Ovis aries: one gene and its partners. The protein of the gene in region 3 interacts with the protein of the main gene of each other region in a pairwise test. Links are inferred from orthologs where the notes say so. Each region holds a gene or a part of one and is shown on either strand. Other genes may lie near its edges.

The links.
Region 1: the proteins of NUP58 (region 3) and MIS18A interact in binary tests that used the Homo sapiens proteins (3 or more experiments, as listed by UniProt). The link is inferred for Ovis aries from reciprocal best matches to the Homo sapiens genes NUP58 and MIS18A.
Region 2: the proteins of NUP58 (region 3) and HTT interact in binary tests that used the Homo sapiens proteins (3 or more experiments, as listed by UniProt). The link is inferred for Ovis aries from reciprocal best matches to the Homo sapiens genes NUP58 and HTT.

The regions. Positions count from the first base shown.
Region 1 is NC_056054.1:123,905,361-123,916,004, forward strand, and holds the end of MIS18A (protein Mis18-alpha), read left to right. Parts: intron 1-475; coding exon 476-542; intron 543-3,655; coding exon 3,656-3,778; intron 3,779-5,440; coding exon of another isoform or gene 5,441-5,504; exon of another isoform or gene 5,505-6,403; intron 6,404-6,421; coding exon 6,422-6,518; intron 6,519-7,081; coding exon 7,082-7,162; 3' UTR 7,163-10,615; downstream 10,616-10,644. UniProt on the Homo sapiens protein: Required for recruitment of CENPA to centromeres and normal chromosome segregation during mitosis.
Region 2 is NC_056059.1:116,341,979-116,352,622, reverse strand, and holds part of HTT (huntingtin), read left to right. Parts: intron 1-1,474; coding exon 1,475-1,649; intron 1,650-3,135; coding exon 3,136-3,315; intron 3,316-3,632; coding exon 3,633-3,809; intron 3,810-4,091; coding exon of another isoform or gene 4,092-4,096; coding exon 4,097-4,168; intron 4,169-5,179; coding exon 5,180-5,386; intron 5,387-6,377; coding exon 6,378-6,500; intron 6,501-8,202; coding exon 8,203-8,416; intron 8,417-8,776; coding exon 8,777-8,922; intron 8,923-10,316; coding exon 10,317-10,494; coding exon of another isoform or gene 10,495-10,592; intron 10,593-10,644.
Region 3 is NC_056063.1:34,147,669-34,158,312, reverse strand, and holds part of NUP58 (nucleoporin p58/p45), read left to right. Parts: intron 1-48; coding exon 49-73; intron 74-1,053; coding exon 1,054-1,119; intron 1,120-1,436; coding exon 1,437-1,611; intron 1,612-2,277; coding exon 2,278-2,357; intron 2,358-4,171; coding exon 4,172-4,290; intron 4,291-4,648; coding exon 4,649-4,731; intron 4,732-6,787; coding exon 6,788-6,989; intron 6,990-10,644. UniProt on the Homo sapiens protein: Component of the nuclear pore complex, a complex required for the trafficking across the nuclear membrane.

The DNA of each region.
Region 1 (10,644 bases), on a different chromosome or scaffold from region 3:
CCATGGATGGCGGAGCCTGGTAGGCTGCCATCCATGGGGTCGGAAAGAGTCGGACACGACTGAGCAACCTCACTCACTCACTCTGCGGTAATCCCTGTTTCACTGTGTTTGGCGGGTATACTTGATAGTCTGTGATGTGAGGTTCTGATTGTTCCAAGTTTCATCGTCAGTTGAATTTTTTCTTCCCTGATTGTCCTAAATTTTACCATCAATTGAATTTTTTCTTCCTAATTTTATTCATTTTGTTAATTTCAGTGTTTTCTGGGAAGGGAAGGAAATAACTCTTATTCTGCTATGTTTTTCCAGGAGACCCTGTACCCTTAGTTTTAAACCACTGTGTGTGTGTGACTTTTGGGCCTTTGTTTTTTTTCTGGCTTTCTGAGTTCTAAAATTAAAGTTGAATTAGAAGTTCTCTAAATACCTGCATGTGTCTTATATCAAACCACATTAATACTTTGTTGTTACGTCTTTCCAGGTGTTACCTGTAATGTTTCTGTGAATGAGGAACAGATGCTATCCAAACGTAAACATGATAATTGTTGGTGAGTAAAGCTATATCTATATGAGTATGTATGTTTTCATTTTTTTAAATAAAAATATTTGAAAAGATCATCAGCAGTAAAATTTGGGATAAAACTTTTTTCATGGTGTGTGTGTGTGCTTAGTTGCTCAGTCGTGTCTGACTCTTTGCAACCCCAAGGACTATAGCCCTCCAGGCTTCTCTGGAGGAGGATTCCGTGGGGGTTCTCCAGGCAACAGGACTGGAGTGGGTTGCCATGCCCTCCTCCAGAGGAGCTTCCCAAGCCAGGAATCAAACCCAGGTCTCCTGCATTTCAGGTGGATTCTTCACAGTCTGAGCCACTAGGGAAGCCCTTTTTCATGGTGATATCAAATCAGTCATTGTGCATGCTTAGTTACTTCAGTCGTGTCTGACTCTTTGCAAGCCTGTGGGCTGTAGCCCGCCAGGCTCCTCTGTCCATGGGATCCTCCAGGCAAGGATACTGCTGTGGGTTACTGTGTTCTCCTCCAGGGGATCTTGCTGACCCAGGGATCGAGCCCACGTCTCTTACATCTGCTGCATTGGCAGGTGGTTTCCTGAGTGACAGTGGGCGCCTGTAGATTTAAGATGGAAGAGTTTCTAAACTTCTCAAGGCCTGTTCCAACACTTCCATTTTGGGTGTTTGGCTTGGACCAAAATTGAAAATTGAAAATAAAAACAGGAAAAGAAAGTATCTTTATCGTGGAATCTCTGAGCCAAAGAATGCTTTAGATAAATGCTCCCGACTTTTCATGCCGTAGCTCCCATAGATAATGCTGATGCGGCACATGCAGACATGTGGCCCACTGCGGTAAAGACAAGGCTGCACGCCCGGTGGCACAGGGGCTCCAGCTGTCCCAGGCCCTGTTTTATCTCTCCAGGTGTTGAAGGGGTCACTGTCCTGCTCTACCTGCCACCGTCTACTGCAAGCAGCATCCTCAGCACACTAAATGGGAAGCTCTGCTTTGAAGAATTGTTGCCCAAAAGTTGTCTTACTGATGCATGTGAATAAGTGGTACACAAGCAATTCAACAGAAATGAATAATCATATTAAAATTTTATTATTTTTTATTTATTTTAATATTTATCTATTTGGCCCCACAGGGTCTTCATGGTGGCTCTTGGGATCTTTGCTCTTTGGTTGTGGACTCTTTAGTGTGCAAACTCTTAGTTGTGGCACGTGGGATCTAGTTCCTTCATCCCCAAGGGTCAAACCTGGGCCCCCTGCACTGGGGAGCTCAGAGTCTCAGCCGCTATTTTTTTTTTTTTTTTTTTTCAATTTTAAAACATTGGTTTTTCATTTCTAGTAATGTTAGTGTGTCCTACTCAAATAAAGTATAGTTTCATTTAAAAAATTACTCTCTTTAAGGAGAATTTAAAGTCATAATAGGACAGGTGGAGTGCGAATGTAGCAGAAATTGTACTGCTGGCACGCTGGTAGTAGCAATTTGGAAAACCCAGCCTTGGATCATTTCTCCCTTTATTGATGAAGAAAATGAGGCCTGGGGAGGTTTACAGCCTCACCAAGGACATAGGCCGTTAGCAGGAGCTAATGATGGTGCTTTGCTGTCCCTTTGCTTCCTGCAGAGTGTCCTCTACTTCCCAGTTCCAGTCATTCTGATGTCAGCTTACAGCTTTGCTGTCGCGCACTTGATATTTTTCATTACATTGACCCTGAGTTTTTATTTGTTTATTTTAAAAGGAATCTGTATGACTGCTGTGAATGTATCAATTGCTGTTGAGTGAGTGAGTGAGTGAAGTCGCTCAGTTGTGTCTGACTCTTTGCAACCCCATGGACGGTAGCCTACCAGGCTCCACCATCTGTGGGATTTTCCAGGCAAGAATACTGGAGTGGGCTGCCATTTCCTTCTCCAGCTGATCTTCCCAAACCAGAGATTGAACCCGGGTCTCTGGCATTGCAGACAGATGCTTTACCGTCTGAGCCACAAGTCTGCACATGTCGAAAGTAGCTGTGACAATAATTACGGTGGAAACAAATGTTATTAAATTCTAGCTGAGATACCCCCGGCTGGCTGGTTCTGAGCCCGAGTTCTGTCCTCTTACAGTTAAAAGATTTGCAGCTGTGACATACACATTAAAGACCTCTAGCACCAGGCTGAGACTCTTCTGTTCTTCATAATCAAGATTTCTAGAGAACTGAAAAGGGAATCGACTCTTGCTCTGAGTCAGTGTTGTGAGTTCTGCTCGCTTGTATCACCTGAACCCCATCCTTTATGCCAAACTATAGCTCATGGGCCAAGCGCCTGTTTTTATAAACATGTTTTTATTGGAGCGCAGGTCTTTCAGTCATGTGTTATCTGTGGTGGCTACCATGCCACAGTGGTAGAGACAAGTAGTTGCAGTAGACGCCACGTAGCCTGCAAGCCTGAAATACTTGTTCTCTGACTCATCACAGAAAAAAATCTGCCTATCCCTGCCCCAGGGCATTAATGATCCTCGGTGGACAATGTGACATTTAAAGAACATGTACGATCTTTTTGCCTTATTTCAGAATTTTAGTTAATTTTTAATACCAGATTGAGGCGTTTACATTCTAGAAAAGCAGCATCTTCTTAGTATATTCTCATCTTCTTTTTTGTTTTTCTGAATTTTTATTTATTTTTGTCTGTGCTCCGTCTTCATTGCTGTGCATGGGCTTTCTCTAGTTCTGGCGAGCTGGGACTGCTCTGTAGCTGGCGGTGTTCGAGCTTCTCATTGCGGTGGCTTGTTGTGGAGCATGGGCCCTAGGAGCTCGGGCTTTAGCACAGGCTTAGTTGCTCCACGGCATGTGGAATCTTCCTGGGCTAGGGATCGAACCCTTGTCCCCTGCATTGGCAGGTGGATTCTTATCCATTGTACCACCAAGGAAATCCAGCATACTCTCTGCTTTGTCACTTGTGTGCATGCTGTCTGTCACTGGATACTGAAGGCAGTGTGACCTGGAAGTGCTTTCAAATGTAAGCATCTTACTATCTTTTTTTTTTTCCTTTTTATACATAGGACCTAGTAGGGTCAGGGTAACATACTTCAGCAACTTAAACGTTTAGGTGTTTACAGATCTCAACAACGGGGTGTTTGTGGTAACCAGTCACTAAAGGGCGACGTTTCTTGTTGCAGCATCCTGCAGACTTTGTACTGCACAGGTTGTTCGCTCAGCCTCGGCTACCTGTACAGGTGCACACCCAAGGATCTAGACTACAAGAGGGACATGTTCTGCCTTAGTGTTGAAGCCATTGAAAGGTATGTTTGAGGCATACATGAATAGCTCATCGCTGAATTCTCAGAAAGTTGTTTGCAGACAAATTGGTATGAAAATTTGGAGACTAAACATTGTTTGGTTAAAATATGTTTTTAAATAATAATTTCTGACCCTAAAGCAAGTGATTTTTGTTGTTGTTTGGACCTGATTTATTTGCTATTGGAAAAGTCTGTTATGCTAAATTGTAAAAGAAAGCCCTGTGAGAACATTTTGTAGAGTAAAAATTTGCTGTTTTTCTTAATTAAATTTAGTTTAGTAGGATTTTTTTTAAAGCAATTATGTGTATCAATATATTTTGTCCATTTTATTTTTTCCTCTAGTTTTTAGTCTAGTATAATAACTTGAAAAAATAGGAATTTCAGAAATGGTTGGGAAAGAAGTCCCTTTGTTCTGGAAAAGTAGAAATGCAAAGTCCAGCTATTTCCTAGAGGACTGTAAATAACTGCCTGCTGTTTTGAGAGATGCAAGGAAGTACCTTCATTTTTCAAGACTTCTAAAAGGTGTTTGGCGAGAACGTGAATTAGGGTCTGATGACATATATCTTACTGACCCTTTAGTTCATTAACCTTTTAAAATTGGAAACAAAATTAATTGACCCCAATGTCTTTTCACTTATCCTGGAAATGATGTAACTCTCAAGACTTTAGAGATTGTTGTTTAGTAGCTCAGTCGTGTCCAACTCTTTATTAGCTCATAAACTGTAGCCTTCCAGGCTCTTTTGTCCATGAGATTCTCCAAGCAAGAATACTGGAGTGGGTTGCCATTTCCTTCTCCAGGGGATCTTCCTGACCCAGGGATCGAACCCGTATCTCCTGCATTGGTGGGTGGGTTCTTACCGCTGAGCCACCAGTTAGGTTTTCTTAGAGATGCCTAGGAAACCTTAAATATCAAGAAAGAAGGACAAAAGTGCCTACACTTTCATTACTTGAAGTATGTTGTCACTTTGTTGAATTTCTTAGATTTTCTCTTTAAAAAAATTTAGAATAGTGTTCTTTTTATTATAATTTTTCATTTAATTATTTTTTGATTACTACAGTTTTACCACCATCTTTGAAACTAGACAAGTTTGGATCAAAATTGTGAAATCTGCAAACTTTTTACAGCCTTTAACACAAGAGAATAATGTAGCAAGTACTGCTCATTGATGTAAAGCATGCAGGCCCACCTGGGGAGAGATCAGATCTGATTTGGTTTTAATATGTAAATAGAAGACTCATGCCCAAACAACTGCTCCCTTAATCTCCATGGGAATTTTACCAAGACTTGTGGAAATTATGTGGGGGAGAGGACAAGTATGAACGACATAAAATCTTAAACAAGTATGGTTGGCACAGAACTTTAAAAACGATCCATGTCTGTATTTCTGCACAGAGGATCCTAGTATCGAAGCTGTTCTTTCCCCAATAGTTGAATTTAAGGAAAAGTTACCTCATAGGGCAGAATTTAAATGACAGGGAACCAGGTGTGTTTTAGAAATGGATGCTGTCCGTAATGTTTATTTACAGCATTATAAATTAATCAGTGCCATTTAATTTTCCCCATCTCATTTTTCTTTTCTAAATAAGATATTAACTGCCTTCTGTAATTTTTCCTTTGATGACATTTTTTAGAAATTTAATCAATTAATCTTGGGTTTCCAACAGAAGACTGTTTATATTTAACAGAAGTGACGTACTGAAGTTGTTACACGTGGTGAAAGACTTCTAAAGAAATACAAACGAATGAAGGTTTTTATGTTTTGTTTTTTTCTTGAGAAATAACAGCACCTTCTCCACTGTTGAGATTTATTTGGTTGCCAGAGCTGGGCTTGTTTTCTTCCATTGCTAGGCCAGTTATATTTTCAAATTGTAGCATGTCATCTGGAGAAGGTGATGGCACCCCACTCCAGGACTCTTGCCTGGAAAATCCCATGGATGGAGGAGCCTGGTGGGCTGCAGTCCATGGGGTTGCTAAGAGTCGGACACGACTTCACGACTTCACTTTCATTTTCAGTTTCATGCATTGGAGAAGGAAATGGCAACCCACTCCAGTGTTCGTGCCTGGAGAATCCCAGGGACGGGGGAGCGTGGTAGGCTGCCGTCTGTGGGGTCTCACAGAGTCAGACATGACTGAAGCGACTTTGCAGCAGCAGCAGCATGTCATCACCTCAGAGAGCAGAGCAAAACATGAGTTATAAAATAACTGTTGAAGTTGCCGAAATCTAGGTAATCAACAATTGATGCTACAGATTACATACTAAAAGTCAAAACTTGAAAATACACAAAAACTTGAAAATGCACATGTTCTTGAAAAGTTACATAAAACAGTGGCTTCTTCAGGATCTTTTAAAACTTCAAAATGTTACTGTTGTACCACCCAGCTTACTAAAGAGCCAGTTTTATTCCCAATAATGAAATATAGCATTGAGAAATATGTAGAGTTCTTGGACAAAGCTGTTATGGAGAATAACATGATTTCATGTAGTTCAGCTTCCTATGTAGGTTTCTATTAACAAAAGTAATTGTTTTATGTGTTTACTCGGTACTAATATATACTTCAATATACTTTGAGTTTTAATGTTATCAATATAAACTTTATATTTACTCCCTTCTCATATTTTAACTTTGTATTGTACTGTACTTCAGTTATGTTTTAGGGTCATCTGAAAAGCAAATTGTGTCAGAAGACAAAGAGCTTTTTAATCTTGAAAGTAGAGTTGAAATAGAAAAATCTCTAAAGGAGGTAATTTTGTTCTGCACTTTTTGTATCTTTGTATAAACAACTTCCAGTCAATGACCAAGTGCTGCTCCATGAATAATTCTTAATTGTGTCTTCTCTTTTGATCTTAGCATTCATGGTGAGAGAGTGCTTATTTTATTTCAGTTGTTAGTAAAGTTGATTTACTGGGAACCAAACTACAAATTAAGCCAAAACTTTATGGAAAAAATTATAAAGACGTTCCATGCTAAATCAAAGCAGTATGTATTCTAAAACTATTAAAATAGAAATATATCTTTAAATCAGTATTTGATTTAATTTTCATGGTGAAAACAGCCTTGTTTTTGAATGTTAACATCCTGTCACAGGCAAGATAGTGGTGAATAAATGTAAAAGCTATGGATCAGAGGTTGAGAGCTGCTATTAATAGGCTTATGTCTTATTTAAATAGAATTCCATTAAATAAACACAGATATATATAATGTATAACATAGCAGCAATTATATTAATGATCAACATTTAAATCATATTTAACCATGTATGATTTTAATCATATGTATTTTTTTCTATTTTTTTCCATTTGATAGATGGAAGATGTTTTGAAAGCCTTGCAAACAAAGCTTTGGGAAGTCGAATCAAAACTGTCCTTTACCAGTTGTAAAAGCTGAATTGGTTCCAAGGCCCACATTCTGCAGGCCTCTGCTGATGGAGAGTTCTTTCATATGTAGCAATTCTTGTTATAATATACTTCACTTAGAACTGAAAGAGTTGGAAACAGTCATGTACATTGTATCCTCTTGTACTGACCGGCTGGTCACGTGAGAAGAACTGGAGAACTTTTCTGGCTGTGTTTGATGGTAAAGAGGTGATTGTTTCCTAAACTCCAGTTTTAAAGTCATGATAATTGCTGGAATTTAAGAGTTGTTGTTTTGATAACAAACTGCTATAATTTTTTGAATGGTTTTCTCCTCTGTATCGATTCGTTATTTTTTATTTCCTATTTTTTAACTATTTTTCACTTTTAATAGTTTGGGCATTGTTTAATATCGAGTGCTTGGAAAATCTTAGAGGTGTTTCCATCTACTGTGTGGTTGAATCTTCTTTGAAAACTAATGAATATAGCTTTCTGGAGAAACTGGTCAGTTGAATTATTTGTCAATACTCTGAAACCTTGCACAAGAGTAGATTAGCTTGTATTCTGTTGGTGGTTGGATTCCGTCTGGTCCTGTTTATTTACTCCTGTGTGCTTGCTTAGCCGCTCAGTCGTGTCGGACTTTGCAGCCCTGTGGACGGTAGCCCTCCAGGCTGCTCTGTCCATGGGGTTTTACAGGCAAGATTGCTGGAGCAGGGTGCCGTTTCCTTCTCCAGGAATCAAACCTGTCTGCTGCATTGCAGGGAGATGCTTTACCTGCTGAGCCGTCAGGGAAGCCCTTGTTAACTACCGTATGCCCCGTAATCTGGCAGCATAGTCACCAAGGAGAGCAGTAATCATTCCCAAGGGTGGGATTCTGGGAGAACTTTCAGTTTTCATAATGTAAGACTTCTAGTAAGCGCTTGTTATTTTTATAATGAGGGGGAAAATAAAGATGAAAGCAAAGTGCTTTACAATTGATTTTTATGAAACAGTTGTTTAAATGAGCTCAGAAATCCTGCTGTCATTAAATACCACACATTTACTGGGCATGGCAGGGTAAGGGGTCCTGGTCAGGACTCTAAAGGTAACCCCAAATTCCCCCAGCTCCTACTCTGTTTTTGAGTATAAATGAGGCCACCTAACATTAGTATTCAGCGTGTTTGAGTAACTTAACTCAATTTCTGCTCAGAACCTCCCCAGTTGTTTCTGAGAATACCTCAAGTTGTCATGGCAAAAGGTCCTAAGTCAGATTGACTTGATCGTTGATCATTCACAATTGCTAAGTTCTTTTTGAGAGATTGTCTGCAGTCTCTAATCGTCTGAAGTTAGTGAGCTGTCCAGGTCTCTTCTCAACACCTGCTGGCAATAGTCATCCTGCCTCAGTAAGCTTGATGCGGTCCCCAGGGTCTGTCATTGTAGGTGTTTCGGTGGCGCTTGTGTGAAAGTTCATTTAGAACAGATAGAAGAGTTATTTTAACCGAGAGATTCAGCTGACTTTCTAGTCGGCACGGGTGACTGTTCTCCACTCACTTTCAGGGACATTCCAGTTTGGCTCCTTAATTCCTTTTACCCTGTTCATCCTGGGCTACAATTTCTAGCCAATCCATACACCTTGAAAACGACTCATTTCTCCAATGCAAAGTGATTTCTAATATCCAGCAGTGCTAACCAAGCCTCTCTTGTGGTTCAGGAAATAAACAGCCCAAGTGCCTTTGTGGCAGTTTGGGCCTTTGGTTAGCATTTCCCTGTACACTCTGTGTGTTTGGAGTTTTATTTCCAGTGAGGGTCCTTCAGACGAAGTTAGCTTAAACCATGTGGGTGGAGAGCTCACACACAGTTATCACACAGTCTTTGTTGAAGCATCTGAAAGCAAATCCCAGGAAACAGCCGTGTCTCCGTGTAAGGCACAGTCTGTGTCTCTGGCCTCTGTGATGTTGCTGAAAGAGTGGGCTTACTATCACCGTGGGGAAGAGAGCTCTGAGGCTCCCACACTGCCTACTCGACGGGTCCATGTGGGACAGCCTCGTCCTCCGCAGGCTGCCCTGTGGCGCTTTGGAGGAGGGCCCGTCCTCACACTCTGGGTCAGCCTCTGCTGAAACCAACCACCCATTTCTCTGAAGCCTAGTGACTTCAGACTTATAGACTTTTTAGGCTCTGCCTGAGGGCTCATTGGTGTGCTGTTTGTTTGACTTGCCCTATGTAGCCACATACTAAAATTGACAATCAGGCCTGGTTCCTACTCCTTGTGACTGTGTGCTATTGTTTCTGGTTACCATTGCCCATGAGCAGGAGTGAGGATCCTGGAGCAAGAAGCATTCCAGCCTGAACTGTACAGGACCCCATCAAAGAGACTTCAGATAGGATCTAACCAGAATTTGTTTCTTCAGCCAATCCTCGTGAAAGGGTGCTCCCCAGTTCTTTAGGGAGAACCTCTGGAAACTAGTATAGAGCCTATTTATAGACTGTTGTGAATGCATGTGTATAGAACATGGTCTTCATCCCAGAGTGTGGGTTCTGCTCTTCTCAGCAAGCTCTCCTGTTATGTTCACAAGTTTCCAATCTTACGAGGCTGCGATGGCTATTGCTTGTGTAGGATCGATGTCTAGACGGAGTATGTCCTACCTGGGTGATTCTAGTCAGGCTTGGGGCATTAAAAATGGGCAAAATGAGAGTGCCTTCTTGCAGAGTTGGGTCTAGGTGTTCAGTAGGAACTACTTGAGAGGAGCCATGATGAGCAACGTGATGAGCTTTTGAGGGAATCTTGGGGGTGGTCAACCCCTGGCCAGAGTCCCCCGCTTCAACTGCTCTATTAGCCTTGTGACCTGGGGCAAGTCTTTTATCCATTTTGAGCCTCTGTTTTCTTATCTGTAGAATGAGCTATGATAACCTGCTTTTCTTGCGTCACAGATAAAGTAATGCTTATGATGGTACTTTGAAAGCAGTAAAGCATCACAAAAATAAATGACAAAGGTGTAGCCTTGTTTAATTTGATCTGATTCAGTGTTCTCCTCAGTCTTACTTCTAGTCTGATTGTTTGGATGTCCTGGTGCCTCAGAGGCAAAGAATCTGCCTGCAATGCAGGAGATCCGCGTTTGACCCCTGGGTCGGGAAGATCCCCTGGAGAAGGGAATGTCCACCCACTCCAGTGTTCATGCCTGGAGAATTCCACAGACAGAGGAGCCTGGTGGGCTGCAGCCCATGGGGATCGGAAAGAGTCAGACGCAACTGAGCAACTAATTCAAAAGAAAAAAAAATCTGAACCACCATATTTAAAATAAATACAGTGACACTGGATTAAGTTCATCCTCTAATTACAAACACACGAACACTGTAGAAAGTCTGAAAAGTGAACGAAGCACAAAGAGCAAAATAAAACCCACACGCAATTTCACCACTGCTTTGTGGAGCTACATTCCTGTTGTCATTTTATGTACAAATTTAGAATTGTTCAGGACATACTGTTTTTACTAAAAATATTTCATAAACATTTCTGCGTCATTAAACGTTCTTTTGTAA
Region 2 (10,644 bases), on a different chromosome or scaffold from region 3:
GGCGGGTCCTGCATATGCAGTCACCTTCTATTTGGGAAGATCGTTCACTATCAATAGCTGGCAGCATCTGTCTTGGGCGCTTGCCCTCCTACAACCTGGGACCAAGTTTGGGTTGACATTGGACTTTCTCTGTGTCCACCGCTAATATTTAAATTGTACATTCTCCCCTCCACCTTCAGAGGCTCTTTCCCTTAAGGCTATACCATGGCGGAACAGAGTTAGAGCTTGAATGCAGGTCATGTTGGGGCTGACAGGAGGGCTGATTGAGAAAGGAAGGGTTTCTGTCGACATATAATTTGCAGTGCATTGAATGTGCTCATCTGTGCCCAGTGAGGTCAGGTCGCCCACCACAAGCAAGATTTGGGACAGTGCCGTCGCGGCAGGCGCTCCCATGCCTGGAGCCGTCACCCCTTCCCCGCGCGCCCTTGGTGACCGCGCTCCGTCTTCTGTCTCTGCGTGCGGCCTGTTGCAGAGTGCCTTGTGAACCCTCTGAGTCTGGCTTCTGTCACTTAGCTCAGCGCAGCCCAGGTTCATTCCCGTGTTGCACACTTCGGAGCTGGCTGCTTGTGACTGCTGCACCGTTTTGCATTGTGTGCACGTCCGCTTATCCATTGACTCGTTGAAGAGCAGAAATGGTAATTAAAGTTTGTATTTTTTTACCTGTAGAATTTTTTTATGCCAGTTCTCGTCCAAACGCTGAGATGTTCGTAGGAAAAGTTGACACATTTCAGAATATTCTAGTCCTGATGTTGTCTCCATCTCTGCTAAGCCTTGGCCGATGAGGCGAGGGGCTTGTTTGACTGTCCCTCGAGTCAGTTTGCTAGCATAGCAACTGCTGCATTTTAAGAGTGGTGGCCAGAATTGAGAGTCTCAGAGTCCGGCATCATTGATGCCTTATCGGAGGCATATGATAAGCCTGTGCATAGGCAAATGACAAGCCTGTGGTGATGCATCCCCCAAATAAGGAGCGGAGCCGGGCAGACCCCACCTGTTCGTAATGGGAATAACAACACGGTGAGAAGTAACTGTGAACTGAAATAACCTTCACTGGTGAAGAATTAATTTTTCAGAAAAGCTTTTAGTTGGGGTTTCCATGATAACATGGACCCTGCAGGCATGTTTAGGCTGGTAACTGAAGAGTGAAACGTGGGCGTGGGGGGGCTTCTGGATCCTGACAGCTTTCAGGGCCTTCCAGAAGCTGTAGCCGTGAGATCAGATGCCGCAATGGGAAGAGAGCACGGAAGTGTATCTGCAGGGTGGAGTCGGCCTTCAGTCAAGCTTAGTTTCCGGCCCGTTAAGTCTTTTCTTTAGCTTTCCGCGTGTGCTTTATCCCGTAGCTCAGGAGTAGATCACCAGGAGTGGCCTTACACACATCATTCTGCTGTGGCCGTATTTAGAGTAAACCGACTGTTAGAACTGGGGCGGGGCAATAATCGTCTTCAGTGTTGTGAAAGTAAGCCCACTGCCGCCTCAGGAGCGCCGCCAGAGCTTCTGTTGCTCCTTCTAGAAGACGCAGCCTGTCCAGCACAAAGTCGCTGAGTCCGGAGACGTCTGGAGAGGACGAGGATCCCGACGTGGCTTCCAAGCTGGGGATGTGCAATAGAGAGATCGTGCGGAGAGGCGCCCTCATTCTCTTCTGCGACTACGTCGTAAGTGTGCAAATGCTGGCGGTGGGGGTCAGGGGTTCATGCAGGTAATGCTGCTACTGACTGACTGCTGCCGTCCCACCGTTCCGCCAGTGAGAAACTAAATTTGAATCCTGCTCCTAACTATAGTGAGAAATCAGACTCAGAGTCTGGTCCCAGGAGTTTAGGTTCGTCTGCAAAAGGCTGGGTCAGCTATCACTTGCTCAGGCCTCTTGCAGCGCTGGGCGCCTTTGCTGTCTTCAGTGATAGTAATAATGGAAAGAAGCTACAAATCTGGCTGAGTGAGGTTCTGATTAAAATCTGTTTTAATCTGTGGAAAAGGTTTTCGGAAGTTAATTGCCAGAAGTTAATTGCCGCGTTTTTAATAGATTCCTGTTTGAATGACATTCTTTTAAAATATGACTCTTTTAGTATTTTTTTACCATAAAATTATAGTCATCTCTTATTTAACACAGAAAATTTGCAAAAGCCAAATAAGTAAACAGAAGAAAATTAAGCCTTAATGGTTGTTACTCAGAGAGGACCCAACATTCCACCTCGTTGAGGTTTGCTCCTTTCTCTGGGTGGACGGAGAATGCCGCCCGCCTCCGGGGCAGACGTGACGTGCTCCCCTCCGCCCTCTGCAGAGCTCTTTTCTGCCATGATAGCAGTTTGTTAATACTTACACTTTGCTTTACATTCTTGTTGTTGAAGTAGTTTTTCTATCTTGTTCCACTTTTTAAAGTAATTTGGTATAATTATATAATGCTGTTTTCACAGAACAGTAAGAAAAATATTTATTTTATGTTAATACTATCAAATTATCCCACATAGAAAGTATTAATCATTAACCCGATGGCAGAAAATGTATCTTGTTTTGTAATTTCTGCCCAGGATCAGGAATTTTAATGAAAAGGCAGCATACATATTTTAAAATGTGTACTTTTTATCTCCTCCTAAACCTTACATGAAATATCTCCCCTTAAGGTCCATCGGACCTGTAGGAAGCACCATATTTCAGATTCGGAAGCTGTCAGGACTGTGGCAGTCAACAGGGAGCTCTTTCTCTCCACTGACTCGTCACAGAGTTGGGGCAAGAGTGGCTGGAGCGCTCCCATCAGGAGGCCGGACTGAGGCCCAGGGCAGGGGGCGCAGGGTGCACTCCGGCAGAGTGCCACCTGCCCTGGAGTCTCACGCGGCCACCACTGCCCTGGGTGCCCCGCGCCCCTCAGCCACACTCCTCAGTCCTGGGGCCGTGCTGCTGGGTTGCACGTCCCTGGGGCCTGAAGGGAGGTCACGGCCAGGGTGTTTGGTTGTTGGGGGCGGGGTGGGAGTCAGGCTCTGTGACATGCGTTCGCCCTCATCAGTGTCGCTGTCCAGACGCTGGGCATTTTCAGTGAGGGCTGCGGTCTGGAACCAGCACACTCCTCCCTGCCCGTCCTGGCCTCTTCTTGGCATCGCCGTGTGTGCCCACTGGACGGGGGCCTCTCATTGCTGGCTTTGTGCTCAGTGCCAGAACCTGCATGATTCGGAGCACCTGACGTGGCTCATCGTGAACCACATTCAAGACCTGATCAGCCTGTCCCACGAGCCCCCCGTGCAGGACTTCATCAGTGCCGTCCATCGGAACTCTGCCGCCAGTGGCCTTTTCATCCAGGCGATTCAGTCTCGCTGTGAGAACCTCTCCACTGTAAGTCTCCCGGGTGCCAGCCGCTGCGCGTTTTCTCTGCCTGAAGAATGGAGCATTGGCGCTTTTGGCTTCTCTTGCTGTGGAGCGTGGGCCCGGGGCGTGCGGGATGCAGAGGCCCCAGAGTGTTGGTGCACGGGCTTTGTCGCTCCACTGCGTGTGGGGTCCTCCCAGATCAGGGATTGAACCCTTGTCTCCTGCGCTAACAGATGGAGTCTTTACCCTTGAGCTACCGGGGAAGCCCCTGTTGGTTTTTTTAACCTATTCTTTCCACTGGGTAAACCCGCTGCCCTCGTCTCTGTCCTCCTCTCGCTCTGCAGCCCACCATGCTGAAGAGAACTCTCCAGTGCCTGGAAGGGATCCACCTGAGCCAGTCGGGTGCCGTCCTGACGCTGTACGTGGACAAGCTTTTGTGCACGCCGCTCCGTGCACTGGCTCGTGTGGTCGAAACCCTTGCTTGTCGCCGGGTGGAAATGCTTTTGGCCGCAAATTTACAGGTACTAGGAGATAACACTGCGGGTTGATTTTTACCGGAAGCTTGGCAGGGCAGGCGAAACTCTGGGCCAGTTCCTTTTCCACAGGCGGCGTCTTCACGGCCGCGAGGGAAGGTGCAGCATGGCTGCGTCGGTCCTTCTCGTGTGTCTGGCATCTGTGCTTCCTGCGCTTCCAGTCCGCCTCCGCTCCTAGGAGCCGGACGCAGCTGTTGTGTTTTGTAGATGAGCACGGTGGTTCTGGCCTCCTGTGCATCGCACACGCTGACGTGGTCTTGTCTCCTCTAGAGCAGCACGGCCCAGCTGCCGGCGGAGGAGCTGATCCGGATCCAGGAACACCTGCAGAGCAGCGGGTTAGCACAGAGGTAACGTGGGGCCGGGCTCCTCGTTGCGGGTGCGGAGATGAGGGTCCGCAAGGGCGCAGCCTCACAGGGCAAGAGAGGGACGTGCGTTCTAGGTGGCAGATGGGCCTCGAGAGAGCCTTCAGGATTACTGGTGTCTGTGTGCAGAGTGCAGACCCGCTCTGCCGCGTTAGTCCCGTGGCTGAGAAGGGTGCGTATCGACATAGCTCTCACTCACCGTCTGCTCTGAGTGGAAGTACCGGTGATCAGCTCTGTCTTAGTGAGGATCAAAACCTGTGATCCGATTGCTGAGTTAGACAGCAGAGCTGAGGCACGTTACCCAGAAGTGTATCTGCAGCTCATCAGCGTTCTCTCTCCATAGCAATCTATCACCTCCTTTTGTCTGCAGAGCTTTAGAGGCCTTTATCTGAAATCCTGATATCTATGACGTGAGTGTATTTCCATCACTGCAGAATAAAAAGGAGCTTCACCTTCTCTCCTGCACAGTAGGGAAGATGTGTGCAAGAGAGCTGGGTCAGTGTGCTGCGACTGCTGTCTCAGGAGAAGCAGTTGACGGTTTAACTCGGAGGGACAGGACTTGCTGGGCAGTGTATGGCCTTAGGTGACTTGTCAGTGCGTGGAGTGACTCGCATTGTAGTCTGCATCAGAACTCTGTTGTTCTCAAAACAAGTGACGGGAGGTCGGACTTTCTCTTTTTGCCCCTAGATGAGGAAGAATAAAAATACCCTGTGCCAGATGAGGTGACTCGGTCATGGAATGAATGTAGATGGGTGTAAGCTGTGTATTATGTGGGGACTGAGCAGATTTTGTGCACTGGGGTCGTACCTGGTCCACTGTGGGTTCATGAGCAGCGCTGTGTGGCTGTCACGCTGTGTGTCCCTGCGGCACTGCTCGGTGTGAATGCAGTTTCTGGAGAACGCTAACGGGCCACGTCTCTGTGGAGGTGGCCTGTCACCTGGGCCTGACTTTGCACCGTGACTTGTGTGAGTGTTGGTGAGAAACAGCTCTGCGCAGTTTCAGGCTCGTCTCGTCTCGCTGGAGGAGCCCGTTCAGCTTCTAACACGCCTGCGATTGGCTTCCAGACACCAGAGGCTCTACTCCCTGCTGGACAGGCTTCGTCTTGCCACCGCACCGGGGTCGCACGGCCCCACGCCCCCCGTCACGTCCCACCCCCTGGACGGGGATGGGCCCCTGGCACTGGAGGCAGTGAATCCTGACAAAGTAAGTGTCTGCATGTTGACACCCCGGCCCTCGGGTCGCTGAGGACTGCTGTCCGCCTGGGCTGTGGGGTGGCTCGGGTGGCAGGCTGTCCCAGTGCCCAGCACGGCCCCCGAGGGCCCTCAGCCTGCCCCAGTTCTTGCCGGCGGTGGCCACAGTTGCATCGGTGACAGGGCTGTGAAGTCTGGCCCTGGCTTTTAGCAGGGGCTGAAGGTTGGATGGCCGATGGAACACGGTGTCTGTGGCCCACCACCCAAGTTGTCTCCTCTGCTTAGGCCTGCTGACCTGTGTGTATCCACACCCCACCCGCGGGCCCGGGCACCTTGTCCTGCGTTGGGAACCACTCACCTCAGAGCTGGGGCCCGTTCAGAGCTCTGGCAGAGTCTGGCTCCTCTCCTTTTTGGGAGAGAGTTCAGTTTTAAATATGTCGTTGGACCCCAGAATCCAGCAGCCCAAGCAGGGACTAGTGAGACCCAGGCCACAGTTCTCAGGTGTGACTTGTCCTCACGTCCACGGTGCTGGCCCTGGGGAGAGGGAGCAGAGTAGACTCCCGGAGGCGATGGGTGCGGTGCCCAGCAGGGTGGACAGAGGTGGGCCTGCTGCCTCGGGGCACGGCTGAGGCTCAGGGACAGCGGTGCCTTCAGCAGATGAGAGGAGGTGGTGCGGACAGGTGACAAGTCCACGTCGCCGCCCTCGTGGCCGCTCCCATAGGAGGGCCCGCGGAGTGGTGACGGCCGGCATCCAGTCTCACTGAGGGTCGGTCGTGGCCCAGGGACGGCCTGGTGCCCTCGGGCTGGGCCATGGACGTGGGGATCAGGCAGCGTGGCCGGCATCTGGTCTCACTGAGGGTTGGTCGTGGCCCAGGGACAGCCCGGTGCCCTCAGGTTGGGCCTTGGGCGTGAGGGTCAGGCAGCGCGGAGACAGGCTGGCGGCCAGTTTGCAGTCCCGAGAGCCCGCGCGGCCGCAGCCTGCTGTCTCCTTCCCTTCTGCCCAGGACTGGTACGTGCAGCTGGTGCAGGCCCAGTGCTGGACTCGGTCAGACTCTGCCCTGCTGGAAGGCGCAGAGCTGGTGAGCCGGATCCCCGCGGGCGACCTGGGCGCCTTCGTGATGCACTCGGTACGGGGGCCGGGGAGGCGGGCCTGGGTCGCTTTCGTCGCTGTGTGGGCCTGCTCTGCTCCGCTGCTGTGTGGCCGCTTGCGGTGCACACCCCTCACCTTCGTGCCTTAGAGGCAGGGAGCCTGATGCAGCATGTGATCTCAGCCCCCGAGAGTCCTGAAGGGGGGCGTCGTGTTTAACTCACCCTTTCACGCAAGTAAAGGAGGTCAGGTATAGGTGTTAGTCGCCCAGGCGTGTCCAACTTTTGGCGACCCCATGGACTGTAGCCCACTGGCTCCTCTGCCCCTGGAATTCTCCAGGCAGGAATACTGCAGTGGGTCGCCATTCCGTTCTCCAGGGATCTTGCCACCCCAGGGATCACGCTTGCACCTCTTGTGTCTCCTGTGTTGGCAGGTGGATTCCTTGCCACTAGCACCCCCTGGGAACCTGAAGGAAGCAGGCTCCCTTGAATTGTAGTGAGGTCTGCCTGCTTGTCTCGTGCCCCTGACGGGCGGTAGGTGTCGCGGCACGTGATGGAGCAGACTCTGTGAGGATGTTCTGGAAGCTAGGAAGCCCCTCCCTGCACCCAGTGCATTCAGCGAGGCCCCCGCAGGCTGCTGTGTGGAGCTGGCCACAGTCTTGGCAGGTCCCCTCTCAGCCCTCCTGGGACCAGCAGCTGATAAGCCTTCAGGGGTCGTGGTGCTGCCTTGAGTAGACCAAGGGGGAGTGAAGTAGGGGCCCAGGAGACAGCCCAGGCGTGACACAGAGCCTCACGGTGCAACCACGGAGCCGCGTGTTCCAAGCGCTGACCCTCCAATCAGCGTGAAAACAAAAGCTCCCTGGAAAAAGAACAGTAGGATCAGTTTGCTAAAATCATTTTAAAAGCCATTCAGTGAAAGCTGATTTGCTGGCAAATGATAAGCTTACTTAATAACTGATTCATGAATTTTCCAAATTTGCTAATTAGACTTTTAACAGCTTTAAAGAAAGGCTCAGCTGTAATGGCTGTACCAGAGGGCGCAGTTTTGGTCACTGGTGATGACACGCTTTTCTGAATGGTAACTAAAGATCAGCTGGAAAGATCCTTACATGGCTTTCAAAAGCTGGCAGAGCGCAATACACATCGAAGCATCATCGAATGAGTGCCGTTTTTCCAATCAAACTTGCCGCATTTCCATGCCTGCTGTGACTTCTTTCAGCTGCTTTTGAAACATCACTTGTCTTTTTCAGACACTGGGGACTTGGGTGTTCCACTGATTTCCTGGGCGGCACATCAGCTTGATTTTTGTGTCTGTATCAGTTAGAATTCAGTCATGTTTAAGTTTGACTTCAGATAAATAAGAAGGCAGAAACATTTCTTTAAAATCAAAGTCGCAGGACTTGCCTGACTGTCCAGCGGTTAGGACTCTGCGCTTCCACTCGGGGGCGTGGGTTCCTCCTTGGCTGGGGAGCTGAGATCACACATGCCTCATGGCTCGGCCAAAATAAGTAAATAAAAATTGAAGGACCTAGTAGAGTCCAGAAACATACCTCACAGGTCGGATGTTGGACGGGGGTGGTCGGTTATCTGTGAAGGAAGCGGGAGAGGATACTTGTTCACAAGTCGCTGACACCGTGCTTAGCTGCCATCTCCGAATGTCTGTGTTCTGCGCTCTGCTGTGTGTCTCTTGCCTGACTGAACACATGTCACAGTCGTTGTTCAATCTCTAATGCCCTAATTCAGGAGTTCAACCTGAGCCTGTTGGCGCCGTGCCTGGGCCTGGGCATGCGTGAGATCTCAGGGGGCCAGCGGAGCCCCCTTTTTGAAGCAGCTCGCATGGCGACTCTGGACCGCGTGACCGTTGTGGTCCAGCAGCTTCCTGCTGTCCACCAGGCTTTCCAGCCGTTCCTGCCCCCACAGCCCGCCACCTACTGGAGCAAGCTGGATGACCTCTTTGGTAACTAAACTGAAAGCTCTTCTTATTTTTATAAAATGCTGCAGAGCCAACGCTAGGCTTTGCACCAAGTGAAAGTACAGTGAACGCTCTGGATTAACACTCTGAGGCAACCGGGAGCCCGCCCTGGGCCCTGGCTCTGTGTGTCCTTGGTGTGTGTCCCGCTTTGCCATTCTTTGACGTGGCCCAGGCTCTGGGCCCTGAGGAGCGCAGTCTCAGCCTCGGGAAACAGGGCCTGGGCTCGTGGGACGGCGGGGTGTGTGTGGCGCATTCCAGGAGCTGTGTCTGCAGCCGCTGTCAGCTTCGCGGGGAAGGTCAGGGCTCTGCTGAGGGCTCGTCCACCCACGGGCCCTTCTGTTCCAGGGGATGCTGCGCTGTATCGGACTCTGACCACCCTGGCCCGGGCCCTGGCCCAGTACCTGCTGGTGTTCTCCAGGCTGCCCAGCCATTTGCAACTTCCTCCTGAGAAGGAAAGGGACACCGTGAAGTTTGTGGTCATGACCCTCGAGGTAAGCCGCTGTGCGGGAACTCGGGCTCAGAGCGGCGGGAAGTCTGAGGGCGCCGCCCGCAGAGGGAGGAGGCTCCTCTGTCTGAAACCCAGCGGGGCCGGCCGAAGCCCACCCGAGGCCCACCTTCCCGCAGCGACTTGTCCCGCAGCACGCCCACCCCCGCTCTGCTGGGCGCAGCCCCTCCCCTGGGTGCTCCGCTGTGCAGTCTGCCTCGTGGTTGGCAGCCCCTCCCCGCGCCTCTGCCTCTGGGCTGGGGGGCGGGCTCTCTGAGGAGTCAGACCTGGGACCTGGCCTCCTGCCCGGGGTCTCCCAGGTACAGGGCAGGGAGGCCTTGTTCACTTACTTTTGAGTCTGTTTCCTTGATGCCGAGAAAGTTTTTTGATTTAGTACAAACCGTCCATTTAAAATTTTTTCCAGGAAGAAAAAGTTATGTGTGTTCTAATTTTAGATACTTAAAAAGTAGTGATCTGAGAAGTTTGTTATATTTTAAGTTGAACAGTAAGCCTGCAATTTTCAGCTGTGGGGAATTAAACGCTCTCGGTGTTAACACTTATAAATAACCCCCAACCCGAAGCGTGTGCTCAGGGTGGAGCACAGCCCTTTCATACGCCCTCTGGAGAAGCGCCCGGCCTGCACCCTGCACGGCAGATACCTGAAGAGTGCCCACACGCCCGCCGCCTGGCTGTGGGGAGACAGCGGCGTGCAGAAGGCACTCACGCCTGCTCCTGAGGCGACGAGCCCGAGTGCTGTGGCGCCGCCCTTCAGACGCTGGGGCCGCAGGAAGGCTGGCAGACGGGCACCTGGTGGCCTTGCAGAGGCTTCTGCCGTCGCCGTGGGCAGGGCAGCCCTCCCTGCAGTGCCCCGTTCAGGGCTCCCTGCAGCCCTGTGAGAGCTGCTGGTCCCGTTTCACAGGCGAGGGAAGCCGGGCTGAGAGGCTCGACCCGCTGGGAAGCAGCCAGCACGGTCTCACTGCCAGGTTCAGCCTCCGTGACTGTGACCAAGGCCAGGCCCCAGGCTGTGGGAGCCCCCCTGGGCTGTTGGTCCCCCAGGCTGTGGACTGTGGGACCCCCGGGCTTTGGGAGCCCCCCAGACTGTGGGACCCCCAGGCTGTGGGCTGTGGGACCCCCAAGCTTTTGGATCCCCCCTGGGTTGTGGGAACCTCCAGGCTGTGGCAGTCCTAGGGGAGCGCCTGGCCCGCAGCCTGAGTGGTCAGAGCCGGCGGCGCGGAGGCTGAAGGCAGGGCAACCAGATGAGGCGGGCGTCCCCCAGTGAGCAGGCGGGTCTGGGTTGGGCTAGAGGAGCTCGGGGTGGTGGCCCGAGGCCATGGCTCCGTAGGACACTCTGGACTTGCCCCACGGTGCCCAGGGCCTTCCTTCACACAACCCGCCCCACAGGCGCTGTCGTGGCATCTGATCCACGCACGGGTCCCGCTGAGCCTAGACCTGCAGGCGGGCCTGGACTGCTGCTGCCTGGCCCTGCAGCTGCCCGGCCTCTGGAGCCTGCTGGCCGCTCCCAACATGGTGACCCACGCCTGCTCCCTCATCCACTGTGTGCGGTTCATCCTGGAGGCCAGTGAGTCTGAGACGGGGGCGTGCTGTCATCTGGCCCTTGAAGCGGCGGTCAGCGCCACAGGGCTAGTCGCAAGTGGTCGCTTGCCACCTGCTCTCCAGGTGCTGAGTTGGGACTCGGGAGTGAGGAGGTGGAGGATTTACGGGCCTTGCC
Region 3 (10,644 bases):
ACACTGATAAATAGCATATTTTTACACGAAGCTTTTCCAATTTTCTAGGTGATAAAACAGGAACAAGACCAGAGTAAGTTTATAATTTGACTTCTAAAATATTTTAATTAAAGAGTTTTGCTTATTAAACTGTAAGTAAATGGTATGGTTGGAAGTAAATGGAACCATACACACGTTTAGAAGAAAAATTATTTTGAAGTTTTTGTGACAAAATAATAAACAGGCTGTGGAGAGATTGTGAAAGGTAAGATAATTTGAGAAAATTATAACTATTTCTTTCTACGAAGTAGTTGGCATTTCCTCAAATAATAAAAACAAACACAAATATATGTAAAGTGTCTCTTTACCTTCTTATAAATATTGAACAACTCATGGACTTTACTCTTGGACCACTTTTTATTTATATATACAAATTAAACATGTATATGTACCTTTTCTTTTATATGTAAATTGCTCTGCCAGTACCATTCACTTCCTGATGCTGAAGAAGGAGAAGGCCTCCATGTGTGTGTTTGTGTGTTTGAAGAGTTTTATTTATTCCTGTCTTTGTTAAGTAGTCATGATTCTTTTCAGCTACCCCCAGGTCTTATTTTGTTGAAGAACAAATTGAAGTTATAAAATAATAAAGTAAAAGTATTGTGAGCATCTCACTGTGAGAAGTTTGGCAGGTTTTCTTTCTTTAATGAATGCTGTAATATTTTTGAACTTAATGAAATGTCAGTCCTGGGATTTTTGAGCTGGAGAAACTTAGTTTAATATCTCATCCCACCTGCAGTATTCTCTGATTTTGTTCTGAAACATTTAGTCAAATGCATCTATGTGTACTTGTAACAAATGCCAGTCTTCTTAGAAATCTCCATGTCAAGTGAATTGTTAGTTGTTGTGTAGGTCAGAAAGTTTATTACTCTTTATGAGGAACTTTAAAATCATCCAGGAAAGCTATAAATAAGGAATATTTGCTCTGTTTTCACATGCTTTAACACACTGTAGTAGAATTCAACTGCCAGCTTCTTATGATCTCGGATGTTAATGCGCCTGTGGCATCTTTCTCAGGGACAGTAAAGCATTGAAGGATGAGACTCTGCCTGCTGTCATCTGCCAGGACGTCGACAACCTCCAGTAAGTGCATCAGGAGCTAAGTCAGACTCCAACGTGGGCGGGTGCGTGTGGATTTCAGGGGGGCCATCTCCTCCTCCTCCTGAGCATTTAAACTTGGGGAACATTGGAATGCCTGTAAAAGGTAAAGAAGCAGAGCAATTGAATGAAGGAATTAAAATTCTGTAACTGCCATTCTGTGAACTGTAGATGAATGTTTTAATAGTTGCTTCTCAAAACACTTGGACTTAAAACTCTGACCTACATGTGGTAAATGTACTTTTTTTCTGTAGAAAACCAAAGGTGTATTTTTTTTTAAAAACTCAGTTTTCTTTTTTTAGGAAATTTGTGAAGGAACAAAAACAGGTTCAAGAAGAAATTAGTAGAATGTCTTCAAAAGCAATGCTTAAAGTCCAGGAAGATATTAAAGCTCTGAAGCAGCTTTTGTCACTGGCCGCCAGTGGATTGCAGAGGAACACTCTCAATATTGACAAACTGAAAATAGAAACCGCTCAGGTAAACTTGAGTGTCATTTTGTTGTAGGGTTTTTCATTTGTTTGTTTGTTTGTTTTTTAAATAGAAATAGGTCTTTTTAAAATTATGAAGTTTTGTGCATAAGAAAACCACATAGCACATGTACTTCTAAATTACTGTAATAGTTACTGGTTTTTATTGAGTGCTTACTTTGTATGGGGCAGTATTCTAAGCAATCTAGATATATTAACCCAGTGATTTTCCACAGTAGCCGCCTGAGGTGACGTTGGTTAGAGAAGCAGAACCTGTAGCAAAGGGCTTGGTGCACAGGAAGTGCTGCTGCTGTCATCATCCTCAGGGTTATTTATCTTGTTTTTTTTACGTCAGTGTTTTCTATGGTTATATAGTATAGGTTTTAAGTAGTAATGTCTGTATCTGTGGATGAATAAACTTCATGAATCCTACATAAATGCATAGTTTAAGATAGAACAGCAGCTGTTTTTACATTTATTATGAAATTTGTTCATGAAACTATAGTTTGTCCTGCCTGAAAGGAGGTTTCAGCGCCTTGTGAAGGAGCTTCAGTCATAATATGTTCTCACAGCATATGAAGCTCTGAGAGTGGCTTTGTTGAAATCCTGAGATGGTTGGTATTTTTAGCTTGACTTTTAACTGGCTTTTTCTTTTTTAAAACCTCTGTTATATTAGGAGTTAAAAAATGCTGAAATAGCTTTAAGAACCCAGAAAACACCACCTGGATTGCAACATGAAAATACAGCTCCTGCTGAGTAAGTTAAATAAATGTTTGTCTTTAAAATAGCAGAACAATAAAAACCGTATACAGGCCATGGATTTCTTAGTTCACTTTTTAGCAAGTCTAGGTACTTTGTGTGAATTTTAAAAATTTAATTCTCATAATAATTCTGAGAAAGTATATCACTCCCATTTTACTGAAGGGTAAGTGAAAGCTAAGGTCGAGCTTTTAAGCACTCTTCTGCAGTTGCATTTCATATTGCTTATAAGGTCTGTTCCACTTGATTACGTTGTGCAGGTGTTAGAAACTTATGAACTTATGATTATACCATAAGTACTTTCAGTTTAAAAATATTATGATAGTCTCTTCCTTAAACAGGGCATACTAAGTGTAGTTTAACCCTTTTATTTCCATAAATTTATTTGCATCCATAGCTTTTATTTGCATACATAATAATCTACAGGAAGAAAAATTGTGAAGTGTAGATAAGCAGCTTGAAAAATCCCCCTGTACCAGCTTGTATACTCATCTAGTTTCCACACATGTGATATATATCTTATCGTCTGTTTCCATATCCTTTTGTGTTATGCAAGATGATAATAGTGAACATTGTCAGATGCTTGCCATACACCACCTGGGTGGCTTGGCTCTTTACTGCCGGATCTGACTTTGCGCAAATCCTCTTCAGCTGTCAGAGTCCTGTCTAAGATGGGGAGCCTGAGGCACGGAGATGGAAGTCCTGAGCTTCTGGGTGGGTGGGGTTCGTTGGACTCCTGGTCCCTTATTCTTTTTTTAAGTTTTGTTTTGATTTCAGATTTGCAAAAACGTTTCAAGAATAAAACCAAGAATTCTCACCTATCTTTCACCCAGATTCCCCGCATGTTAGCGTTTTTAATTTGCAGTTGTTTTGTTCCTTGCTGTCCATGTTTATAAACACATTTCCCCTGTGTAGAATTGTTTGTCAGAATGATGCCCTTGAATGCTTGAGTGCTTCAGAGTCTATTTCTTCAACATAAGGATATTCTCTTTCATAACCACAGTGTAGTGGTCAGACTCAGGCAGTGACAATGATGGTGATACTCCTATTGCCTTACTCAGATGAGCATGGGGTGAGCTGCTTTGCTGGACTTCCTCAGTATCTTATCCTGCTGTCTTGTTCTTCATACTGCCATCAGAGCTAATTCTGAAATGGACTGAATCATGATTTGCCACTGTAAAAACTTTCAGTTCCCCATTTCTTATAGAATCAGTTCCAACTGTGTTTCATGCTATTCAAGGTCTCTTTTTATCTTTCTAGCATTCTCTGGTTATGTTTATCAGAATAGTAATAGTAATTATATACTTCTGTAGTACCCTGTGGTGTTTTCAGCTTATAAATAATTTTTATATATAAAAAATTATCAAGAAGAGGAAATTCACACTGCTGCTGCATTAGCCAAAATATAGAATTTACTTGAATTTTACTGTCTTTTCCACTAGTGTATTTTTTCTGTTCTAGGATTCTTTTCACACTGCATTTAGTTGTTATTTCACTTCCAGTCTACAACATTTATTCAGTCTTTTCTTTGATGACCTTGACATTTAAAAAAAAATATTGTTATTTTGTAGATTATCCCTTAATTGAGATTTTTTGTGATTGGAGTAAGGATATGAATCTGTTTTTGATACCTTGATAACTTATAAATTTGAGATTTTGTTTCGGTAATACTTGTGTCACTTAAAGGTATATTGTGTCATCAGACTAATTCAAAGGCCATAGTTAAACAGAGGCCTGTTTTTGTTGGAGTTTTGAATATGAAGGAAGCAGTGTTTTCACACTGGTCTGACTTGGTAAATGTTCTCGTGTAGCTACTTCAGGATCCTGGTTCAGCAGTTTGAGGTGCAGCTCCAACAGTACCGACAGCAGATTGAGGAGCTGGAGAACCATCTTGCCACCCAAGCGAACAATTCACATATCACCCCACAAGGTAACATGCTTTCTGTGGTCATTTTTTTAAGTGCTTTTAGTAGTTGTTGTCTTAAGCTGCCATAAGACAGTTTCCTTTAAAGTCATTGATTAGATCTTTATTTCTTACAAATATAAAATGCTGTTATGAACGATTATGATATAATGGGCACATGTCCTAGGGCCCACCTCCCCCAGATTACTGATAGAGAGAAGTCCTTCTCTCAGTCTGCTCTGCTGTCTTCTCTCTTCCTTGGCAGTATTGGTGTAATTTTTTTCATCCTACACGTTAACCGTACCAAGAAATGGACTCAAGTAAAAAGAATAATATTGATTGTGTTATATATGTATTTGTGTGATAATATGATTTTCTTTTATAGATTTGTCAATGGCTATGCAGAAAATTTATCAAACATTTGTAGCTTTAGCTGCACAGCTTCAGTCTATTCATGAAAATGTGAAGGTGAGTTCTCATTCCGTATTCATTTATCTGGACATCTGCACCAAGTGAAGTATTTGTTCATTTGCAGGACAAAAGTGTCCATGCTCATCACAGAAATAGCTCAAATTACTTGTAAGTGAAAAAGACCAACTCTGAAATAATCTATAATATGCCCAGACACAACTGGTCAAGTGTTGTGTGAAGTGTGTTAACTTTTTCCATCAGCATATTGTAAATGACTTTCCACATTCATACATGTACTTGTTTGCCATCGTTTTAGTAGTTAAGCAAGATTTTGTTGCATGTATGTGTAGTTTGTTTAACCCATTGTCTTTTGTTTGACATTTTGGTTATTTCCGTCTCTTATAGCACTATAGAAGGTAAATATTCTTAGTAGCAGAATCATTTCCCATTGCTTGAATTTTGTGTGTGTTTTAAGTGTTTATTGGACCCTTCATAAAAAAACTTGCTAACATTTGTCCCTTCTAAACACAGGAAACTGTATTTATCAAATAATAAAAAATTTGCCACTGAATATTTTGAGTATTGTGCAAGACATTCATTTTTAAAAATTACTTGGGCTAAATATAGGTATACTTTACCAATCAAGCAAATATAATTGGTCTTTCTTGGATTTATATATGGTCAGAGAAAATCTTTAAAATTCAAAGCGTCCAAACTTGAATCTAGATAAATTCTTAACTGTATAGATTAGAGTTTCATGGAGATTACCAGTGTTTTCATTTTTATTCTGATGCATGGTGATAGAATTTTTTAAAATTAACCACTTAAATCATGCTATTTTTGAAGTGATAGCATAGTTCAGACCTTTTGCTTTGATTGATTAAAAATTTTTAAACAAATCTTTAAAATAACTTAATTTTTAAAAAATAATTTTAAAGGAGGGATTTTTATTAAATTCTCTTGAAACTTTGTAATCAGTGTTTAGTTTTTCAAAGTGCTGAAGGTGGTTCTGTCTTGGCACTTTGAAGTCTGTGTTGTGCAGATGTTTTTCTTCCTTGTCTTATGAAAGTTTTCAGATATATAAAAAGTAGTATAAAGCTGATTTATTTAATCTAAACTCTTAAGGAAAGTATTTAATAATTCCAGGGTGAAACAGAACCATTCCTATTCATAGCCTTAATTAAGGAAGGTGTTGTGTTGGGTAATCCTACCCATCTTATGAACTTGGTAATTTTTTCTTGGGCTTCCGATAGCTCAGTTTGTAAAGAATTCGCCTGCAATGAAGGAGACTCCAGTTTGATACCTGGGTCAGGAAGATCTGGTGGAGAAGGGATAGGCTTTACTCACTCCAGTATTCTTGGGCTTCCCTTGTGGCTCAGCTGATAAAGAATCTGCTTGCAGTGTGAGAGACCTGGGAAGATCCCCTGAAAAAGGGAAAGGCTACCCACTCCAGTATTCTGGCCTGGAGAATTGCATGGACTGTATAGTCCATGGGGTTACGAAGAGTCAGACACGACTGAGCGACTTTCACTTTCACCATGTTATTCTCATTGTAAAATAATCAAACAGTATTGATAAAGTATACCCTCCAAGCTCTCTTTGCTTTGGTGACATTTTAATATGTGTCACCTGCACCTTTTAAAAGGTATTTAACATATATTTTATATACATATATCTATGTATTTAGTAAGCTTTTTTTTTTTTTAAAGCTGTTTATATCTAGGTTATCCAAAGGTTGGCCATTAAAGGGGAAGCTGTCATGAAAAACTAGTATATTTAAAATGGAATTTTAGATACTACTCTGCTTGTCTGCAAGCTCTCTTATTTTAAAGAGGGCCTCAGGAAGCCAGAATATGCAGGCAGTTGATTGTAAAGACATATGGCTAAAAGCAGGAAGACACTATACAAAGGTGTGGTAGAACTGTCAAATTCACCACTTCCCACACCATGCATGTGCAGCGCCAGCACTGTGATTGGCAAGTTAGATGAAGTATATGATGCTGGCAGTGTTTTTGATCTGTCTTTGCTAACTTACTGCATGGTTATATTCACGCTCATATTGTCAAAGTCAGCACAAGACGTGATTAACATGTTCTATTTTTCATTTCTTTAGGTGCTCAAAGAACAGTACCTTGGCTACAGGAAAATGTTCTTGGGAGATGCTGTGGATGTGTTTGAAGCCAGGCGAGCAGAAGCCAAGAAGTGGCAGAACGCACCCCGAGTCACTACTGGACCCACCCCCTTCAGCAACATGCCAAACGCAGCAGCTGTTGCCATGGCTGCAACTCTTACACAGCAGCAGCAGCCTGCTACAGGTCTGAATGCATTCAAGTTATAGCTTCTTACTGTTAAAGTGCAGAACACTGATGTGCATTTTTATGAGTCTTCCTTTTGTGTTAGCACTGAAGAAATTTCTGAGTAACTGTTCCAGTACAGTCTAAAAATTGTGATGGACACAATTATGAACATATACCTGATAAAAACACAGGGTAGTCTTAGCAATAATTATACATCAATTAGATACTGAATATTGTGAATTTACTTAATGTTATTTGCTGTGTTGCTATAAATGCCCTTTAGAACATGGTGTTTCACTACTGAATTACATTTAAGAACAGATTCTAAATTTGTGGCTGTATCATATATTGTTTTAAAGTCAGAGGTAAAGTAGCCAGAGGTTGCATTCTTCTCTCTGTGATGCTGACAGGCGGTGTGTTCTCGCATGCAGTGGTTACAGAATGCGCATACTCAGGATGAAGTATGTCTTTTTTGACTGAAGTTGTGTTGAGAGCGGTAGGTTTGTATAATGACTGAAAATAGAACAGGCCCTCTTAACCAAATTTAGAAGAAGGTACATGCTGGATACCTTTCAAAATGAACAGAACAGTGGCAAGAGCAGGAAAAAGATGTTTTGAATTGCTCTGGATTGTGCATGAGGTATGTGCTGGGAGGAGCAGATGAAATAACTGGGGTGATACTGGAAAGCAGATAATTGTAGTCCTTGGTTTAATTTCACTTCCTATGAGAGAGACATTTCTGTGGTCCAGTTCTGCGTGTGTAGTTTGGTCCTGGGTCTTTCAGAGATTATTGTCTTTTTATTTCTGCAGTCCTTGTTTTGTCAGGCTTAAAGTGTGACATAGAGAAATACAGTCTTAATGGAAACTGATTTTTTTTACTCATTCATACATTTTTGAATAGTGCTTATGAGTTACTCTGTAGCGTGTGTCTTTCTGAGAGTTCCATAGAGTCCGGTAGTAAGTTATAGTGTGCAAAAGCAAAAACTGTGCACGTCTAGATTGCATTCAGGCTGCCTCTACAGGAGAAGCATTCTTGCTGGCAATTTAAAAAACTGTTCTTCACACTTAAAGAGATGGCAGAGTTGACTTAACCATCAGTGAATGGCTGATAATGGCTTTATGTCAAATCCCCCATGTTCCATGGCTGGACCCATGTGGACAGTGGTCCACACCAGCACTGTGTAGTAGTTCTCTAGCTGGCTAGGGTGTAGGACTGCATTGTTATATTACAGAGGGAAAAAGTCATTGTGGCATTGGTTCCCAGCGGGTCATTGTGGGGTGGCTAGAAATCGAATCAGCCCTGTACTGGTGCCTTCGTTTCTCCTGATGATTTATTTAACCAGCTCATCAAACTAACTGTAGTACCAGTTTACTTTTCAGAGCAAATATTGATTCTAAAATAGACCAGAGAGCAGGACTTGGTTAGGTATTCTTTAAATGTAAGAGATTTCTATTCTAATCAGTAGAACTGGAGAAAAGTCAATTATCTAAGCTGTTAATAAGGGAATTATGTTCTGTGGTGTATGCTAAAATTGAGGTAAAGTCACCTGTTGGATTTTTGTTTTATATATTTTCTTATGTAGGCAGTCTTGAGAAGTTTGTAGGTTTCCCTGCATACATTTTGGGCTTAGAAAGATACTTGTCCCTAGGAAGATACTTGTTCATTCTTTGAGTGCTGCCTCTGTGCCAGACTCCAGGGTTAGCAAGGTAAACAGTAGAGATGCGGTCTGTGCTCTCTGTAGTGGTGGAAAATATTAGCTTAACTTAGAGGAACCATCCTGAAGCACCCTCTGCTCATGTGCTTTGGTTCTTTCGGACCATCGCCAGGCTTTGGGGACACTGACTGCCTTGTACCTTCCCTGTATTTGTGAAGCCCATCTAGAGCTTTCTGATCAGGTGGCAGGAATTGTAATTTAGTAACCTAAATAGTCTTACAGTGTTTTCATTTTGCATTGTATGGATTTTTGGACTGAGGAGCTGAACAATAGTGATCATTTTGTGCTGTCTTCTTGGTTCCCCTTTGTTTCTCCGAGGGTCTCCATGCTCCGTGGCCCATCCTTTTATGCCTGTCTGGGTCAGTCAGGATCCGCTGCTTTAGTCGCGTCACCCACCGCTGGAGTGAGACTGAGCAGCCGTTAGATGCATGCAGCCCATTAGAAATGCCCTCTTTATTGCATTGCACTTTGTACCCGCGTCTTGTCCCTTATGTCCTGTGACTGGTGAAATCTTTTAAGTGCCAGTAACAGCATTTAAAGACCATCTAGATGAAGCTGGGTGAGGCTTGTATGCTGTTTTTAGTCAACCCTGTTGGTCTGTGCAAGGTTTGAGTCGTCAGGGGGCTTTGCTTCTGTTTGCATATAGGTTCTTGACTTTATTAATGTAAAAAAAGCAGACTGCTTCTTAAGCTGCTACCTTCTAAAGGTGCATTCTGTGTAGTCTTTCTTGGAGGTGGAAATATGGATGTAAGTGACTTCATGATCCTCCTTCAATGTCTTTTAATGAAAAAATACATGTAATAGACCTAAGGCCTGTGTGATTTATGGTTATTGCTTCTGAAAGCTGAAGAGAATTGATGACAAACTCCACAGGCTATTTATGTATGAAATTAACTTTGTATGTGGATAGATTACGTGCTGGCAGATCTGGAGCACACTGTCCACCATGCTTCTGAAGCCTCTTAAAAAGCTTAAGATATTGACATTAGGCTTTTCAGTGTAATTTTTACTTAGGATAGATTGTTTTAAGCTAATGAACTGGGATTAAGTTTTGCTGTTGTGTTTTGACGCTTTTAAAAGTTCTTGGTGTTTACATAAAAAGACTTTTTCTCATGTGACTTAACTGCTGTTTTTAAGGAGAGCTGAGACATTTTGTTAGGAATTCCTACTTTCTAGCTTTTAGTGTAGGTTTGGACATTTAAGGTGTATTGCTAAATAGGAAACTTCTTCCTTTGAGTTTCTTGTGGTTTTACAATTTTGTTGTATGTAATAACCAAAGGAGCATTCCCCACTAAGTCAATGAGTAAAATTTTTCAAATTGGGGGAAAACAGTTTTTGTTTTTTTTAAGAAAAATTATTACTTAAAAAAAATATGATTTAGGAATAACCATCCTAATTACATTAGGTATTTTGAATGATCGTTGAAAATTATAATAAAAGAAAAATTTAGCACTTTAGTCCTTTTCCTGTGAATTCAGTTTTACTTTTAAGAAAGTAGAATTTATCCTGAAAAATATGAATTAAAGTGCTAACTTGATTTTGTTATGTGTGAATATATTATACAGTAACTTTTGTAAAATGTTACTCTACATGAAGGTTTCACTTTGGGCAATCACTGGGATATGTTACTACTAACTGGGTATTATTTATGGAACTAAGAGCCTCTCATTGAATGACTAATGACTATTCAGATTTTGAGACAGATTTCTTGACTTGTTTACGTAATCTTTGCCTGAAGGATGTAGATTCTGCTTCTAATAGTGAAACTAATTTATATGGTGGCCAGAGTGTAATATATGCTAATACTTTGGCATGGGAGATATTTATCATGAGTTTTTACTATTAAAAAATGTTATACATTTGCCTACTAGTTTTATAAATGATGTTGCCTTCAGAATTTGTGTGAAGGTACAAAACTCAAAATATCATGTACCTGTTGTGCAATGGAAAGTCTTGTC